2 linked regions of the Oryctolagus cuniculus genome follow. The protein of the gene in region 2 interacts with the protein of the main gene of each other region in a biochemical or structural test. Links are inferred from orthologs where the notes say so. Each region holds a gene or a part of one and is shown on either strand. Other genes may lie near its edges. The genes, in order: plasma serine protease inhibitor and PLAU.

Region 1 (4,553 bases), on a different chromosome or scaffold from region 2:
CCGGTAGCTGAGCAGGCCACCCCCGCTCAGGAAGTTGCCTCTTACTGTGCGCATCCAGGCCCCTCCTCTTCCGTGTCATCAGCTGCTGTGTGGACATCCTGACCCTGAGACCGCAGGATGCATTTAAAGACAGAGCCTTGATAGAGGTGATCGAGCCAAAACAAGGCCACTAGGGAGGGACCAGACCAATGTCCTCATAATAGAAGGGGAGGTGAGGACGCAGATAGGTGCAGAGGTGAGGACACACAGGTGCAGAGGGGCTGTGGACACACAAGTGCAGAGGAGGTGAGGACACACAGGTGCAGAGGTGAGGACACAGACAGGTGCAGAGGTGAGGACACACAGGTGCAGAGGTGAGGACACACAGGTGCACGGGGCTGTGGACATGACAGGTGCAGAGCAGGACCACGGTGGGACACGGAGAAGGCAGCATCTATCCACCACGGAGGGGCCTGCAGAGACCCCCTGGCACCTCGGTCTCAGGCTTGGCCTCCAGCACTAGAGAGGAATTTCTGCTGCTCAGGCGGCGGCGGGGGGGGGGGGGGGGGGGTTGTCTCTGGTGCCCCAGGACACAGCCCATCTTCTCTTTCCATCTTCCAGAGGAGGAGGCTCTCCGCGTGGCCCTGGGGGCCGTCAGGTGGCCTGTGTCAGCTTAGCTCTTTCTGCCTGCCTTCTGCCTTCAGCACCTCCTCCCTCCCTTCCTCCACCCTGGAGCCATCTCCTGTTCCTGCTTCCCTGTCTGGCTTCTGTTCTAAGTCCCTCGTCTACCCCACGGCTTTGCAGAGCCCACACTGCAAAGCCCACTACCCGGTGCCAATCTCAGCCCTACTGCGGCCTGGTCATGTGATGTGGGGCAGGTCAGTTACACTGGAGCCCCCACTCCCACCCGAAAGGCAGAAGTGATATCAGGACCGGCTCCCTGGGCACCTGTGGCCTTCAGCTGATCACCATAGATAAAAGCTGGCAGAAGTGCCAGTGCATGAGGAGCCAGTGGGGCCACGTCTGGCCAAGGCCTCGCCTGAGACCCCATTTCATCTGCTTTGCGTGGGGTGCACGCCTTCTACACGTACCCTCCTGTGCACCTGAAAGCAGCCCCGGCAGCCGATTGCCGAGCTGCGGATGGCCTGCCTGCTTCTAGGCGGTTGTCCCCGCTGCGTTCCATTCCTGGAGTGAGTCCCCTCCTGCTGGGTTCTCTCCCACTCTGGGCACCATCCTATCGGGCCCTGCAGGCCCAGGGCAAGCGGGGCCAGCCTGCCGGTCACCTGACCCCAACCACGCCCAAGGGGCCCCCAGCAGTGGCGTGGGAAATGGTTGCTGAGCCGGGGAGAGATGGGCAGACCAGGGCTGCAGGTCTGTCTGTCTGAGCCACGTTGAGTACTCCTGGCCTCCACGCTGCACGCTGAGCTTGGAGAAGGAGGCTGATGGAGGAGGCTGTGCCTGCAGAGCCACAGCCCCCCGGCACCAAGCCAGCAGCCTCTGCCATCGCCGTGCGGGAGGCCCAGGCCCATGGTGGCGGCGGCACCTCTGTCGGGCACCGCACAGTGTTGACATTTCTGCTCCTCCAGCCTCACGCCTTTCCCACGGAGGCAGCTCCATTTCACAGGCAGGAAGACTGAGGTGCACCACTGCAGGGGTCCACTGTGACCCTGACCCTTGAGGCCCCAGTGACCTGGCTCTCCCAGCCTCTCTGGCCCACTCTGCCCTGAGGCCCAATTCTCCCAGTGCCTCAACCCCACTCTCTGCAGTGAGCTGTTGCTATCATGGACGAGGCGGGGCGAATGAGTGAGTGAGTGAGCAGGTGAAGGAATGAATGGACCTTGGCTCCTCCTGTGAAATCCGCAGGTGGCGGACGCCTGCTGGACACTGAGTGCTGGCACCAGAGCCAGGCTGGGCACCCGCAGCTGAGCTCTGCGGGTGACCTTGAGCATGAGCAGAGCGTGTGCTGGGCTTCCTCTCTGCTGGTCTGAGCTGATTTCATGAGCTGCCCCAGCAAGCACACGAGTGCGCACCATGAGGCCACCCGACAGTCAATGCCAGACGTGGCCGGCACCTCCCGCACCCCGGCTCTCAGGCTGGGGTTCCCTGAGCTGGGACCCAGGGCCCTGGCCCAGGGTAGCCTCTGCTTTGATTGCCGCTTTAGCCCAAGGGGCCATCCAGAGCTGTTAACTTCCTTTCTCTGTTTGTTTACTTAACAAAGCGCCTAAGGGCTCCTGGAGCCACCCCACGACTGCCCCTGGGGGCAGCCCCCAGGCAGGGCCCTTATCTCGGGGAAGGAGTTATCTTTGGCCATTTCTCCTGGTAATTTTTCTGAGTCTCTAGGCCCAGAAAATAGCACGAGCCACCACTGACTGAGGGCTGTCTAGCAGACACCTTCCCGCTGCTTTATTTCAGGGCTCCCTGACCTTGGCCCAGGGGGCACAGGCAGCAAGATCCTTCCCTCTCCGGGGCCCTGCTGTACACTGGGGGGTGTCTGGCGATGTCCCTGGCCTCCAGCCCTTAGTACCTGTCCTACCTTGTCCAGCGGTGACAGGCCACCTGTCTCCAGACACTGCCGGCTGTGGTGGGGTGAGAGCCACACCATGCAGAGGCTCTGCCACATTGAGTGTGGAGCCCGAGGTCCTGGAGCGGGGGTGGGGGGACCCTCTCTGCTGCCTCAGAGCCCCGCTTGCCCCCTGACCCTGCAGGGGCCCTTCCAGCTGCTCTGACACTCCCCCAGGGCTCTTGAGCATTGTAAGCCCACCATGCTCCAGGCTGCCTGTGCCCCTCCCTGCACTCCTGTGCCTCCCACGGGCCCCCCGGGAGCAGGAGCTATACTTACTCTGCAGGCCCAGCGTGCACAAAAGGAGGTGGCGGTCTGTCGGACACAGCAGAGGGCAGAGGGCTGCCTGGAGACAGCCAGCCTTTGTACCTGACTGACCACGGTGGCTCTGTCTCCACCCCTCCTCTGGCCCCGCCTGGCCCCGCCTGGCCCCGCCTGGCCCGCCCTGTCCTGTCCCAGCAGGCTTCCTGTTGAAAGCAAAGCAGCAGGAGCCAGGGGCTGTTACCAGGCCCCTCTTACATGCTCCCAAGCCCCACACTGATCACCACTTGCCTGGAATGGAATGGCCACTCTGGGGTGGGGGTGGTTTACACGGGCCACTGGCTGCTGCCTTCCAGAAATGGGGAGGGGGCACCCTCAGGCCAGTCCTTCCCTTTCACTAGTCTCAATTCTTTTTCTGCAGATTGGGAGAGCGTGGCTTGAGCCTGGGCTGGGCTTACTGCATCACAGACCATGGCAATTGGAGGAGAGGGTCTCCGTGAGCCCCCCACCCCCACCCCCCACCCAGCTGAGACAAAGGGTCATCACAGAATCCAACCCCCTGAGTGCACTAGCGCCTGCGCCGAGGCTGCCAGGGCAGAAGGAAACATCCAGCGTCACACATGGTGTTAGTGGCAGAAAGAGGCTTGGTGCCCGGGGGCTGACTTCAAGGCCAGCGCTCTTGGCTGCACTGACCCTTCCTGCCTTGAAATGAGGGTCTCCAACTCTGTCCTGGCCTCTTCAGAAGACTCCCAAGCGGCTGGCACAGGGGCCTGGCTGAAGCCTCGCTCCATGACCCAAGGCCCCATGCTGGGCTTCCGCTCACCGCAGGGTGCTGCGTGTGGGCGCAGGCGCAGTGTGGAGCTGGCTGAGCAAAACACAGACCGGGTGCTTCCCGGGGGAGGCGTGTCCCTCCCAACGGCCGAGACCCCACCTTTCCCTTCTCCCTGACTTTGGAGCCCAAAGAGTTCTCTATGTTTCCCCAGCAGAGATAAGAGGGAGTGTTTAGTAACACTTTTTTATGTATTTATTTTGTATGTATCTCATACTTACAACATTAGAGACATAGTAACTCTTCCCACCGCACCCGCCCTCCCACCCACTCCCCCCTACCCCGCCTCCTCCCTCTCCTGTTTGGTCCAAGAAAGAAAAAGAAACAGAAAGAATGGAATTAAAAAACTAAGAGGATGTTCCTCAATGGTCTGGACATTCTTGGGGTCTTTAAAGACAGTGAAGTTTCTAAAAGGAAAGAAGGGGAGGAAGGAAGGGAAAAGAGGAAAGAAAAGGAAAAAAAGCGAAATCATCACCTTCGAGAAGCAGCAACAAAGAACAGCCCTCGTCTGGTGATGCTTTTTAAAGGACCACACACCAAACCCAGGGCTTCGGGCACGCTGTCTTTGCAGTCTTTATAACCATGCTGCAAGACAGCTGCTGATGGCTGGCCCGGTCCTGAGACAGGCACACATTCGCAGGGTCCCGAGACGGGCACACTTTTATAGGGTCCTGAGATGGCCACACTTTCGCAGACTCGGGCAATTGTTTTGCTTAGCGCCAACACAGTGCAGCAACAGACAGGTTGGGCCATCAGCTCACAGTCACACAGCAAGGAACGAGGGGAGGGGAGGCTGTTCCCCCACGGCCAGGGTTTGCCTTCTTTCCATCATACCCAGGGGGTGGAACTCAAGCTACAGACCTGTGTGGGGTTGCTAGGGGACTTGGATATTCCCGTCAATGCCTGGAATCTGGAACAGCAGGA
Region 2 (4,358 bases):
ATGTTGTACGAAGCAGGGATTTCAAGTTGCTCTACAACCTTAGCCCCCACTTGGTTCTCTCCTTAGCTCCTCTTTCCACAGCCATCATCATCATGGCAGGTGAGGGCTTTCCACTCACCAATATCGTTGTGATGAGCCAGTGTGTCAGCGCTATAGCCCTCATGCAAGATGAGTTGCTCCACTTCAAACTTCATCTCCCCAGGTGTCATGGAGTTAAGCCTTGACCGACCCAAGTAGACAATGTAGTCCTCTTTCTTTTGGTGATTACTGTGGGAGGTAAGACCTGTCAGACAATCTGACTTCATGAAACCCTGTCAGCTCCTCCTCCCCATCATAGTGGCCTCCAAGCATGACTTGTCCTCAAGGCCAGGAGACAGATGTTTCAGTGAGACAGAATTGAGGTGGAGTACTTTGCTGGGAAGAAGAAAGGGATGTGTTTGGGGTGCAGGAGGAGGAAGATTGAGAGACTAGAGAGGGACGTACATGAAGCAATGTGTGGCGCTGACCACCCAGCAAGGACTGATGAGGCTGCCGCCACACACATAAGTGACAGAGCCTCCCCGGTGCCTCCTGTAGATGGCTGCAAACCAGGGCTGGTTCTCAATGATGGTGAATTCTCCCCCAATAATCTTAAAACGGGGCCTCAGAGCCTTCTGGCCACACTGAAACTCCAATTTTCCTGGAGGAAGGGCAGGTTTTTTTCCTAAAGGAGAAAGAGAGAAATGTCTTGGGGAGGCAGGTAAGATAAAATAGCCCACTCAGGCAGGCCTCCCTCATCACTCATTCTGTGATGGAAGAAGAGGACACGTGAGTTTGTCCCCTTCCACTCCACTGTGATGAACAGGCCAGGGAAACTCACCTGAAGAGCAGTCATGCACCTTGCACTCTTGGATGAGCTGCTTTAGGCCAACCTGCACATAGCACCAGGGTCTTCTCTGGTGGTCTGGGTTCCTGGCAACATGGAGTGGTAGGGGATGTCATTCCAACCCACACTGTCCTCCCTGCATCCTCCCTTCCCCTCCAGGGATGACTCAACCAGAAACCTCTCTTGTCTCATGTTCTGGCCAGCACTCTGGTAGGAGAAGGGGTTGGTAATGAGGGCTTTTGTGAAGCCATAGGGTGACTCCAGGTCCTTACCATCCTCTTCCTCACCTGCAGTAATTGTGTTTCCCCAAGCCCAGCTGAAGGGCATCAGGTCTGTGGGCATGGTATGTTTTCGTAAGAACATTGGCAGAGTTCCAGGCAAGGCAGGGTCGATCCATGATGTCAGTGTTGGCCTTTCCACGATAAGAGTGACCATCCCCATGATAGCAGGTTTTCAATGTATCTACAGAATGATCCGAGGACAAGAAATGTTAGTAAAGGAGGAAATGCATAACCGGCATTTTAGAGATAATAAGCTTTCAGATAGGGCAGAAGACACTGCAAAGCTTCTCCTTCCACCCCACCTCACATTTGTGCAGCCACTGCTTCATGAGATTCTTTGTGCATGTGTTTATGTTTGGCTGTATATACCACATTGCAAGGAAGATGTCACCCACCCCACCTGCAGCTCCTAACTCCTGCCTTTGCTTGCATCCCACCCATCTCTCGTTGTCCCGCAATCTCTTGTGCCTCCTCTTCCAGGTTAGAGTCAGGATCCCCATACCTATCTCACAGTGCTCTCCTTGGAATTTCTTTGGGCAGTTACATCGCCAAATGTTGGAGAAGTACTTGTAGGTCACACATGTTCCTCCATTCAGACAGCCGCAGTTTGCTGGAAAGTACAAAGGTAGGGTAAACAAGGAGCTGGAGCACGGTAGAGGAGGGGAGGCAGTTCTGCAGCAGGGACAAGGAGTGGCTGCCCTCTAAGGCTTTTCCAAGATGCCTGTGCAGCCAATTGTTGTGCAAGGGGTGGATACTCACAAGCATCAGACACTCCGTGAAGTTCATGGCTTCCCTGGAAGAGAGGGGGGAGAGGGGCAGGTCACCGAAGGTCTCATGCTCCTGGGACTCCAGGGAGTGGATAAACTGGCACCATTCCCAAATCCACTCTTCTGGCCAGCTCTCTCTCCCCTCACCCTGTTTATATCTAACAAGCCTCCACATGGAAAATCATGGGTTTCCAGTAGAGAAAAATGAGTTGAATGAAGTGAGCTTTACATAGTAGGTGCCTTCAAACTGGGGCAGTCCTGGGGGTTCTTCCACCCTTGCCCACAAGTGCAAGCCCCCATAGTTCTCAAAGCCCCCACTGCCTCACCTTTCCTATTCTCTCAGGGGAGTCTGGCAAGGCTGTTAAGTGAATCTCCCCTTCCCCTGGCGCTATTCGGGGTCCTGCACACCCCCTTTTGCGACACAAGACAAATCAGGAAAGTCACTCACTTCGGAGTCGCTCACGACCAGGGCGCAGAGAAGCAGGCATACCAGCAGGACTCTCATGGTGGCGAGGCTGGGGCCCTATACAGCGGCTCTGCAAGGGAAGGAGAAGTCAGGGTAAGAAGCAGAAGAGCGAGAAGGCCGCCAGTGCGGGTTACTGCAGCACAGGGAGGAGCCCCAGGTTCCTGCGGGCCGAGCCCTCGGTGACTAGGTTCCCCAGGACCAGCCACCTCTCTTGTCTGGGGACTGCAGACTCAGAGAATCCTAGACCTGCACCCGCTTGGGAACGCTTGGGATCGGGAGCAGGGATTGCCGGCAGCCGCTGCGCAGCCCGGCAGCCCGAGGTAGAGGAAAGGCAGGCGCCCGGGAGCCGGGACCGCTGCGCATCCCGCCCGACGCTCTTGGGACCACCCTTGCTCACCAGTGGCTGCGGCAGGAGGATGCGGACCTGCGCTGCGGGTGTAGGTGGACGCTCAGCCCAGATCCGGCGCTCCAGATTCCGCCTTGTGCTGCTGGCGCTGGACGCCGGCTGTATATGAGGACCCGCCCAGGCCCGGGCCCCGCCCCCGCTCCGAGCGCAGGCTGCACTCTCCGCCCTCTCCTGCTGTTCCCTGCGGACTGCTGCGACTAGAACCCCGTGCGCTTCCGAAAACTTTAACAAAGAGCACGATCCCCAGCGGAGGAGAAGAGGCGAGTCCGAAGGCGTATAAATTCTCCGCTCTCTTCCCGTTCACCTGGCCCTGAGCCCGCGCCGGGGCTGGGGGCGCTGAGTTGCAGCGAGGAGAAGGAACTCAGGAAACACCCTCCCAACTCTGAAGCCTTCTCAGGAGTCCTGCAATCAGTTCTTCCCAACCTTTCCACCCTCGGCCCCCACCTGCCTAGGCAATGATTCAGACCCCCAGTATAGGGGCATAGTATGCAGCTGTCTCTTTGTCAGCGTGAAAAATGCATATAACATCCGCTTCCTAACACAAACACAAAGATTCCTGCCAACAGGGGCTGTCAGATCCCCGGATATTACAAATAAAACCAGTGGATAAGACAGGCTGAGCTGATTGCTTACCGGCGGTCAAGGAGTTACAGTGATGTCAGAGCGGGAGAGGCAAGGTCAGATTTTACTGGGAGTTTGCAGTTTGGTTCATGGTTAGTCTTTGAAAGTGGGGGCTTCCGAAAGCTTGAGGGTAGTAGTATGATATTGTAGGACTGTGGGAACAAAGACTTAGGATGCAAGCCATAGATGCTTCCTGTAGAAGTGCTGATGAGTTTTGGGGAAGTTCTTGTAATGAACAATTTGTTTATTTGCTTGGGCAAAGATAAAGTTGGTTAATAAAAACAGTGGAACGGTAAAACCTTATTAAAATGCAGGCAGGAAGCTATGGAGGGGTAGGAAGAGGACTAGAGAACAAGATAGGAAAAGTATTTATTTCTCACTGTATGCCCTTTTAGGCTTTAAAAAAAATATTTATTTTATTTGTTTAAAAACAGAGTGACAGACAGAGAAAGAGATCTTCAGACTGTTGGTTCACTTTCCAAATGGCCACAATGGCTAGGGCTTGGCCAGGTTGAAGCCAGCAGCCTGCAGCTCCATCCAGGTCTCCAACATAGGTAGCAGGGTCCCAGGTACTTAGGCCATCTCTGGCTGCTTTCCCAGGCACATTAGCAGGGAGCTAGACTGGAGGTGAAGCAGCTGGAACTCAAGCTGGCACTCAGGCAGGAGATGCCAGTATGTCACAAGCGGTGACTTAACATGCCACATCTCAACACTGGTCCCAGTTTAAAGTTTTTTTTGTTTGTTTTTTGACAGGCAGAGTGGACAGTGAGAGAGAGAGACAGAGAGGAAGGTCTATCCTTTTCCATTGGTTCACCCCGCAATGGCCGCTGCAGCCAGTGTGCTGTGGCTGTTGCACCATGATGATCTGAAGCCAGGAGCCAGGTGCTTCTCCTGGTCTCCCATGTGGGTGTAGGGCCCAAGCACTTGGGCCATTCTCCACTGCACTCCTGGG

The links.
Region 1: the proteins of PLAU (region 2) and plasma serine protease inhibitor form a complex in vitro, tested with the Homo sapiens proteins (2 studies listed by BioGRID). The link is inferred for Oryctolagus cuniculus from reciprocal best matches to the Homo sapiens genes PLAU and SERPINA5.

Annotation. Positions count from the first base shown.
Region 1 is NC_091451.1:39,381,382-39,385,934, reverse strand, and holds the start of plasma serine protease inhibitor, read right to left. Parts: upstream 2,958-4,553; 5' UTR 2,819-2,957; intron 1-2,818. UniProt on the Homo sapiens protein: Heparin-dependent serine protease inhibitor acting in body fluids and secretions. Inactivates serine proteases by binding irreversibly to their serine activation site. Involved in the regulation of intravascular and extravascular proteolytic activities.
Region 2 is NC_091446.1:64,942,749-64,947,106, reverse strand, and holds the start of PLAU (urokinase-type plasminogen activator), read right to left. Parts: upstream 2,878-4,358; 5' UTR 2,804-2,877; exon of another isoform or gene 2,777-2,803; intron 2,450-2,776; 5' UTR 2,419-2,449; coding exon 2,362-2,418; intron 1,940-2,361; coding exon 1,906-1,939; intron 1,757-1,905; coding exon 1,649-1,756; intron 1,328-1,648; coding exon 1,153-1,327; intron 952-1,152; coding exon 860-951; intron 704-859; coding exon 484-703; intron 268-483; coding exon 119-267; intron 1-118. UniProt on the Homo sapiens protein: Specifically cleaves the zymogen plasminogen to form the active enzyme plasmin.